Linked DNA regions of Drosophila melanogaster. Changing the gene in region 2 together with the main gene of any one other region gives a genetic interaction. Each region holds a gene or a part of one and is shown on either strand. Other genes may lie near its edges.

Region 1 (4,453 bases), on a different chromosome or scaffold from region 2:
CACCGAAAAGCATTAGCACGGTGAACGGCATTGTGACGATTGAGATTCCGGGCGGCGGTTCAGCGGCGGCGGGCAGTGGAGCCTCCAGTGTGGCGGCCACGGTTGCAGGCTCAACTGTGACGCCGGGCGGGGCCACGATCGTTCAGCTGCCGACTGTGGAGGCCAGCGGCGGGGGTGATAGTTTCGGCGATGATGAGGACGACGAGGAGGATGATGAATTGACCGAAGAGGACGACGAAGACGAGGAGCTCGACGAGGACGATATGGATGATTGCGAGGATGAGGAGGATGACGAGGATCCAGAACTAGACAGTGGCGATGAAGTGAAGATGACAATTGCGGTCAGTGAGCCTGGCGACAATTCGTCCAACTAGCATTCGGAGTCGCTGTTCATGGAACAGTTCTTGTTTGACCACTTCCCGTAGCACCCACCGCCCCCTGCCGCGCCCCATGGGACCATGGTTTAGCAATATATAAATTGTACATAGCGTAATTATGTAAAAGCGAGCATTTTAAATGTTTACCCTTCTTGTACAGCTCCGGTTGCGGATCATCCTAGATTAGTGTACATAGCTTAATCGACCATCGTATTTTAATTAAGATTTTTATTATACATTTTATAACATTTTTAGGGATTACATGTTTTTAATTAATTAACACCAATAAATGAAGAACTTTATATAGTTTAATATATGGACATCAGGCTATTGAGGTGACGTCGATCGGCTCAGATTCTGTATTTTGAAAAGTGATAGTTCCTTCCGAATCAATTGACGGTCCAATCGACAAGCTTTCCGAATTAATTTGATCACACCTTACCCAGCTCTCATTCATCTCTGTCTCTGGACAGTTTACCTGATCGTCAGGCTCTTGAGTCGACGTGGGTCGTACTAATGTGCTCAATTGGGTGCCAAACATATAGTAGTCCGGATCAGACTCCGTATTCCGGAAACTGTTATTTGCTTGCGAATTTATACATCCAGTCCGCATCCTTCCTAAATTAATTGGATCACATCTCACCGAATTCTCATTAATCTCTGTCTCTGGACGGTTGATGTTCTCATCCTGAAATCCTGACTGCTGCTGTTCGTCCTCATCGTCTCCGATGCCGCTAAGATCAGATGACGACACGCCTGGCGGAGCCATCGCTTCCACTTGAAAGTTCATTTGAGACAGTGAACTAAGATTTGTGTTTGCTTGGTCCTCGTGGCTCTGCACCGCGTCATTAGAAGATGCATGAGCGTCTGGAGAGGATTCTGGTGCTGATAGGTTTTGACTCTTTTTCTTTTGCCATCTATCCAATCGGCTGATGTTCTGCTTCTTAGTCTCGGCTGCAACTATTTCTCTTCGCTGGGCCACAAACTCCTCCGGATACGGTTGGACCATCTTTCTGCGCACCGCTTTCATATACATTCGGTTGATGAATCTCTCAGACTTGTTCACAAAACGTCCTTTTGCTTCAAACCTCTTTTTGGCTTCCCACAGACAATTCCAAGCGGTCATATCAACCTTCACTTTGGTGCGTAGACAAAGCTCCTTTACCTCGTCCTCGGTGTATGGGCGTGCCAAGTCCTCCTCGGTTATTCTCTTCAAATACAGGATACTATACAATATACAATTTCAATTTACAAAATGAAATGCGTCTTACCGTTTTTTCGTGCATCCATAGAATCAATTTGTTGTTAGGATCGCTTTCTTTGAATTGCGCACGAATTTTTTTGTCCTCGTCGGCTAGATACTTTCTCAGGAAGGCAGACATTTGCGTCCCCGACATATTAACCTTTTTTTAAAAACACGCAACATTAAATTAAATAAATTACAACTTTTTAAGGGCATTCGCGGCTAATGGATCTATCGAAACTCTGTAAGGTTATCGATTAGTCAGTATTTACAGATTTTAATGGTTTAGCTCGATTCTAGCTAAGTATTTTCGTTTGCTGTCAAAATAAACTCATTTTATTTTACAAATTAATAATTCAAAGCTCCTGATTTCAATCCTATAAAAAATATCAATTCAAAAAACAGGGGTCTTAACTGTCATACAAAATATAGCTACTTTCTCAATACGCTAGTTGGAGCCCCTGCTTGCAAATTCTTTCCGATAGCCGATTAACAGCAAGTGGGCATTTCCGCGTACGCCAAACCAGCGCACAAAAGAGAAATGGAAAACGAAGGAAAGCGAAGAACGAAAGTTTACACATAGTAGCAGCAGCATAAATTCACAAATAAATCGTCCATCCAGAGATCTAAACTACATAAAATATATCGCGTCGAAAGCCGAGTCCTCAGCAAAAAGCATTGACCGAAAAAAGTGGCTAGTAAAGCAAACAGTACGAAATATCTACGTGTTTTTATTTTCAGCCCTGCACCTCTTTGACCATCTGTGTGCGTGTGCGTCTTGTGTGTATGTGTGCGTCTTGTGTGTGATGTGCTCTTGTTTTGTTTTGACTGAAATCCCATTTGAGTAGTTCTTTTTACAAACAAACGTTGTCTCACACTTTATCAGAACACTAGGCCGGACTTCAGTTGGACGAATAAGCACGCATTTTGGACAAATCTTGCCGTGATACCGTCCGCTGATAAAACCGAGTGGCAACTCCGACTGCTCACCATGTATACAAAAACAAGAACCGACGATGAAAGCGAGTCGCGTGATAAATAAATGAAAAGCAGAGGCCCAGCAGAAGAAAGAGCGATCCAAAACGAATAGGTTGATTAGCAGAATCGTCGCTTCTGTTCCGACAAACACGAACGAAAAGCAGCAAAATAATAAAATAACAAATATAGGACCCAAATAAAGGCACCAAAAACGGTAGAAGTCGGTTAAATTTCACAGTGAATATCGAATATTGCTGAATCCCCAGCTGCGGCTTCCTTTTTCTTTCAAAATCCTCGAGTAAGTGCAGGCGGAGAGCGAAAAGAGCGCGCGAAACGAGGAGAGACGGCGAGTAAATTTGAGCCAGAATTTCCGATTGAGGTGACTTCCTAGGAATAGTGAACTGAGCCAGGTAATCCTACACAGGTTCCTGATACCCACGATTTTCAATATGCGACATACGGCTTTCCTTCTTCTTCTTGTTTTGCCCGCCCACGCCATTCTTCTTTCTAACTGTATAGTGTTTCTGTGTGTGCTACGCGTCCGTGTGTGTGCGTGTGTGTTGGTGCTTGCACTTTGCGCGCGCTTACCAAAATCATTTTCGTTTGCATTTATTTATGATTTACAATTTACCATCCGCAGCTGTGCGAAAGCCAATAGCAGTTCTTTAAAGCCTAATATGTGTATCTTTAAAAAAAGGTGCATAGACAACGTTCCAAAATACATATCCAATGCTATTTATTAATAAAATATAAAGATTTTTCCTAAAATCCTCCAACTATTGAGTTTGGCGGTATTTTCCATATCGACCTTTTACCTTGTACTTAAATTTTAATTAATAATGTTTAAGAACTGCTATTAGTTTTACCTTAGCTGTATATGTAAACCAAACCCGGACCTCAGACCCACCTTTGTTTACTAATACAAAATAATAATGGAAACCACTTTATTAATATTTTGCAGAGACGCTTATCATCAGGCGGTTATTATGAAAGGTTATGATTTGATTCCAATACTCCTAGATACATTTAAGCTAAAACTCAAAGCATTCATTTTTGTTGCTAAGCGAGGTTTTGTCTCCTAACATGAGCCCTAACTTCCTTGAAACAATTCCAGATTTTAACTTGTTATCTCTTACCTTATACATATATTAATATAACTCTCTTCTATATATACCGAACAGGCAATCATTATAAAATGTCTCGTAACAAAGACAAATACGACAGCGCCAATCGGCGGCAGCAGATCTTTCTGTCGCAGGAGGACATAGCTGCGGGCAAGAAGACGAACTGGAGTGGCCTAGAGATTACTGGTGGGTATCACACACTTAATCCCGAAAAATATCATATTAATTCTACCATACATCTGTTTACAGGCTGCGTCCGCAATATCAGCCCGTCGCTGTGGGAATTTGAGCATCTAACCGCCCTCTACCTGAACGACAACCAGCTGCTGCGATTGCCCGCAGACGTTGGCATGCTGACCAGCCTCCGAACTTTGGACCTGTCCAGCAATAAGCTAAGAAGTCTTCCCGCAGAGCTCGGCGAGCTCATCCAGTTGCGGTGAGTTTGTGGGTTGGCATAGGACATGATTTACGTTGTTAAATCGTATTTTAGTCCTATTATTATGTCTCATACTCTATTGCACCCTTAGCAGTTGATCTATTGTGAAATCGCTGTCTGGGCGCAGACCCTATTGATCACTGATCCATGCTTTTCACTAAGCCACTCCATTGTCTTGCCTCCTTTTAGGGAGCTGTTGCTGAACAACAACTTTCTGCGCGTACTGCCTTACGAGATCGGCAAGCTGTTCCACCTCGTCATACTCGGCCTCATGGGCAATCCGCTGCAAAAGGAG
Region 2 (3,668 bases):
ACATGCAGTTGCGCTCTCTCGCGCTCGCACACCAACACACTCACCGTTTGGGAGTTTTTGTAGTCAATCAACTGATTGGAAGCCGCATCGCGTCCAGCCATTTTGCTTAAAATTTAGGATATTTGCTCAACGGGATAACCAGAATTTAGAAACACTCGAACTGGAAAGTTGTTGATTTCTAGCCGCCTTCGGTTTTTTGCTGTGACTGCGTCGAGAATTCTGTCAACTAAAGCAACTGCAGCGCAGTTCCATTTGTTTTTATAGCCCAGCACCACGTACTTGTTGTTGCTCAGGGTTGTCGAGTGGGCCGAAGATATCGATATTTCGATTATAGTTGGAAATATATCGCTTAAATATTACATAATATCCATTATTATTCATATTTGTATTTAAATAGTATGAAATTCATTTTCAAAGTTTTTTTTTTGCACTGTCCATTTAAAAACGTGTCCCAACACCATTAAGATTTATTATTGATAATTTATAGTACCTTCGCTCCATTTGCTGCCCAGAAAGGTGAATAAATTTAAACTGTTTGTTAAGTTATTTATTTTTTTAATTTCATGAAAATGTCGGCATCATTAAGTTATAAACTAAGTCGGCTATCTATTGGTGCTCCTGCCAAATAAATATCTATGGCCTCTTTTTTTCTTAAGTTGTGAACCTCTTCCAGTGGTGCCTTTAAAATAAATGTACTTCATTCATATAATATATGTAAATATCATTAAACATGTTAAAATTATAAACTTCAAGGAAATCTCCAAATGGCGGCTATCTTTCTGTGGCTCCTGCCAAGCTAACATCTCTGTCTTTCTTTATTTTAGCGTACAAAAATATCTAATTAAATGAAACTTAGAAACTAGCATCAACTAGCATATGTATCTTGTTCTCTAGTCACAACTTAAAAAAATCACCTAACCACCTGTGGTTCCCATCAAGTAAATATCCATGGACTGCTTGTCCAGGACGGTCGGGCGCCTCTTTGGAATCGGCTGAATGTGCGGCAGTCGCGTGCCATTCACGGCGTTCAAACTGAGATTCGAGTTGGGGTCGTAGTCGTCGCAATCCGGAGTAGTCTGGGCCAAGCTCAGCCTCTGCGATGGTTTCACCATTAGGTTTGCCCTCGCAAGCTGGCGTTTTTGGATCGCTGCAGCGCTGGTAGTGGGCACATTGTCTGAATCTTGACTTAAGCTTCTGTGGGAGCACAGCTCTTCATCGGGAGTCACAATGCCCCCCTCACTGTATGAGGCACCGAATTCGGAACTTTGGCCAGAGACATGCAAAGAGGGCGCACTTTGGTGCGACGATGACTGACTGCCGCTGACGTCCGTAATGCTCGCGGCAGTCTCCCTGGCCATCTTGTGCCGTTTGGCATTGTCGTTCTTCTTCCGGTAGAGTCGCACCAGGTCCGTGTAGCACTTGCAGCAGATGAGGTTGCCCGCCCGAATTTCGCTGTTCAGCAAACAGGCGAAGCGCACCAAATATTTGTTGTTCAGTTGGCGATACGGCTTCCGCAGCGTGTGGTTGCCGACTGCGCAGAATCTCCGCTCAACGCGCGAGCCCTCGTCAATGGAGGCCATCTGGAATAGATCATGCACCTAGTTCTCCACAACTCGGGCTTACAAAACAATGCTTACACTGGCATTTTAACTTCCAAACGCAACAAAACGAAACATGAAGCCAATTGTCCCGCCACTTTGGAAACATATAGTGTGACCACATATGGATTGCTGAAATATACCAAAATTAGGCGTAAAATAAAATGCATTTAACTAATAAACAAATTCAATTTTTTTAAATGTTATAAAATCTAAAAACATACTGACATGGTCACAGTTTCTCACAATTTAAATGTGGCTTATTGTAATGCCAGTTAAGTAATTAATATGAAGAAACTATTCGTTTAAAATTGACAATAATCTAATTATTGGCGTGTTCGATGTTCATGAAATACTTATGTTATATCAGTTAGTTTGAAAATTGACTGTATTTCTTCTGTTGGTTGTATCAATTAAAATGAGTTTAAAAACACATTTTTTAAAACCCTAAAACCACATTCAAATCAAACTGTAATTATACCAACTAATACTGAAAATACCGAAAACTGCAAAATCAGCTGCTCGCCGAACAGCACTCAGCGTGCTGTTGGACGCGAAATGTTAGCCCATTAAACCCAGGTTATTTTTTGTCATTCATTGTTCATACGTTCGTCTCGTCTGATTTTCTTTTTATAAAAACACAATTAAAATTTCAAACGAATACACATAATTTTTATAAATATAATGTAGTGCAACACGTATATGTATAATATAGCTTAATACCAAGTGCAATCCCTCGAAAGATAACTTCAAATGGCAATCTAATTTACGTAAAGAGAAGAGACAAAAAAAGAAACGGCGCGTGTGAAATTTTTTCAAGCAAAGCAAAGGAGAGAAGTTGGAGCAACAAAAAAAAGAGGAGAGAAAAAATACAGCAACAACACACAAAGTAGGCCAACAACAACAGCAAGAAAAAAGCAAGCAAGCGGCAACAACCACAGCAACAACAATAACAACGTCGAGCGAAAGAAGCAAAAACCTTGTAATTGTGTCAATAAATGTTTTAAATAATATTTCCTTTGGGAAAGGCACCGTGTCTGTGTGCGCGCTTCGTGGTGTGAGTGTGCGAGACAAGTGAAATTTTCTTTGTTTCCCTGCGGGGGAGGAAAATACAAAAAAAAGAGTCAAGAAATAAAGTTGCCTTGAAACAACAAAAAACGCTGCCCCAAAAAAAGTGTATGCATGTGTGTGTGTCTGACTCGTTGTCTGCTGGTGTTGGTGAGTGTCTGGCCGTGTGTGAGTGTGTGTGGCAATGAACGTTGAGCAACAATAATTTTATTTATTTGGAATTTTGCTGCGCTGTTTGCTTGCTTTTATCTTTATAAATATACGCACAACTACAGCGCGATAAATGAATTATGAAAATAAAAGTCCCAAGTGCTCTTTTAGCAATGAAAATGTTTAGCCAAAAAACGAAAAGCAACAAAAACAGCGGCTTTAAGGCTGCTGGACAGGTTTCCCACGGCTAAAAAAAATGTAAAATACGAAAAGGAGCAACACGACGGCGACGTAGAAGAAGAAGCAGCAGCAATGCGTGAAACGCGAAAGCAAAGTGAAATTCAAGACAACAACAACAACAAACACGAAAGCATAGCGGCTAACAGAAACCGTTATTCAACAATTTCTTGAATAAAACAACAACGACAACAACAACAACATCGTAAAGCATACAAGTGAAAGAAGGCACAAAATACTGGTTTACACAAAATAAAAAAAGATAAAGCAGAAGAAAGAAAGCAAAGAGAGAAAAAGTTGCTGCACGAGAAATTTCGTTCGTGTATGGTCTCCCCATTTCTATCTCTGCATATATGAGAGTGTGTGGTGTGTGTGTGCATTAGTGAAGTAAAGTGAAAAGCAATGCTGCAAGGAATTACAACAACCACAGCCAGTTTACAATAAATATATAACAGTAAACGGTACTTAGGACCACAACAAAGAGGCCAAACAAAGAAACGAGATATTTGGACAAAATCTCAAGGTAAGTGAAGCAAAGCTGAATATTTCGATGATTTTCTATAAAAAAGTGCGTGCTTTAATTAAAGTGTGGGCATAAGTATCGAACAAAAGCGT

The links.
Region 1: of HipHop (region 2) and cav, changing one enhances a phenotype caused by changing the other (phenotypic enhancement), as found in Drosophila melanogaster (one study listed by BioGRID).

Annotation. Positions count from the first base shown.
Region 1 is NT_033777.3:24,219,670-24,224,122, reverse strand, and holds cav (caravaggio), read right to left. Parts: upstream 2,593-4,453; 5' UTR 2,382-2,592; coding exon of another isoform or gene 2,370-2,381; 5' UTR 2,216-2,369; coding exon 2,198-2,215; exon of another isoform or gene 2,158-2,197; intron 1,882-2,157; exon of another isoform or gene 1,781-1,881; coding exon 1,649-1,780; intron 1,588-1,648; coding exon 700-1,587; 3' UTR 595-699; downstream 1-594. Other genes in the region: Spps (Sp1-like factor for pairing sensitive-silencing), read left to right, coding at 1-374; twin, read left to right, coding at 3,276-3,295, 3,560-3,591, 3,780-3,908, 3,972-4,158, 4,348-4,453. UniProt on the Drosophila melanogaster protein: Part of the HipHop-HOAP complex that recruits the MTV complex to form the terminin telomere-capping complex, which binds to chromosome ends in a sequence-independent manner and prevents telomere fusion.
Region 2 is NT_037436.4:18,819,219-18,822,886, reverse strand, and holds HipHop (HP1-HOAP-interacting protein), read right to left. Parts: upstream 1,717-3,668; 5' UTR 1,581-1,716; coding exon 915-1,580; 3' UTR 534-914; downstream 1-533. Other genes in the region: Cat (catalase), read right to left, coding at 45-101. UniProt on the Drosophila melanogaster protein: Part of the HipHop-HOAP complex that recruits the MTV complex to form the terminin telomere-capping complex, which binds to chromosome ends in a sequence-independent manner and prevents telomere fusion.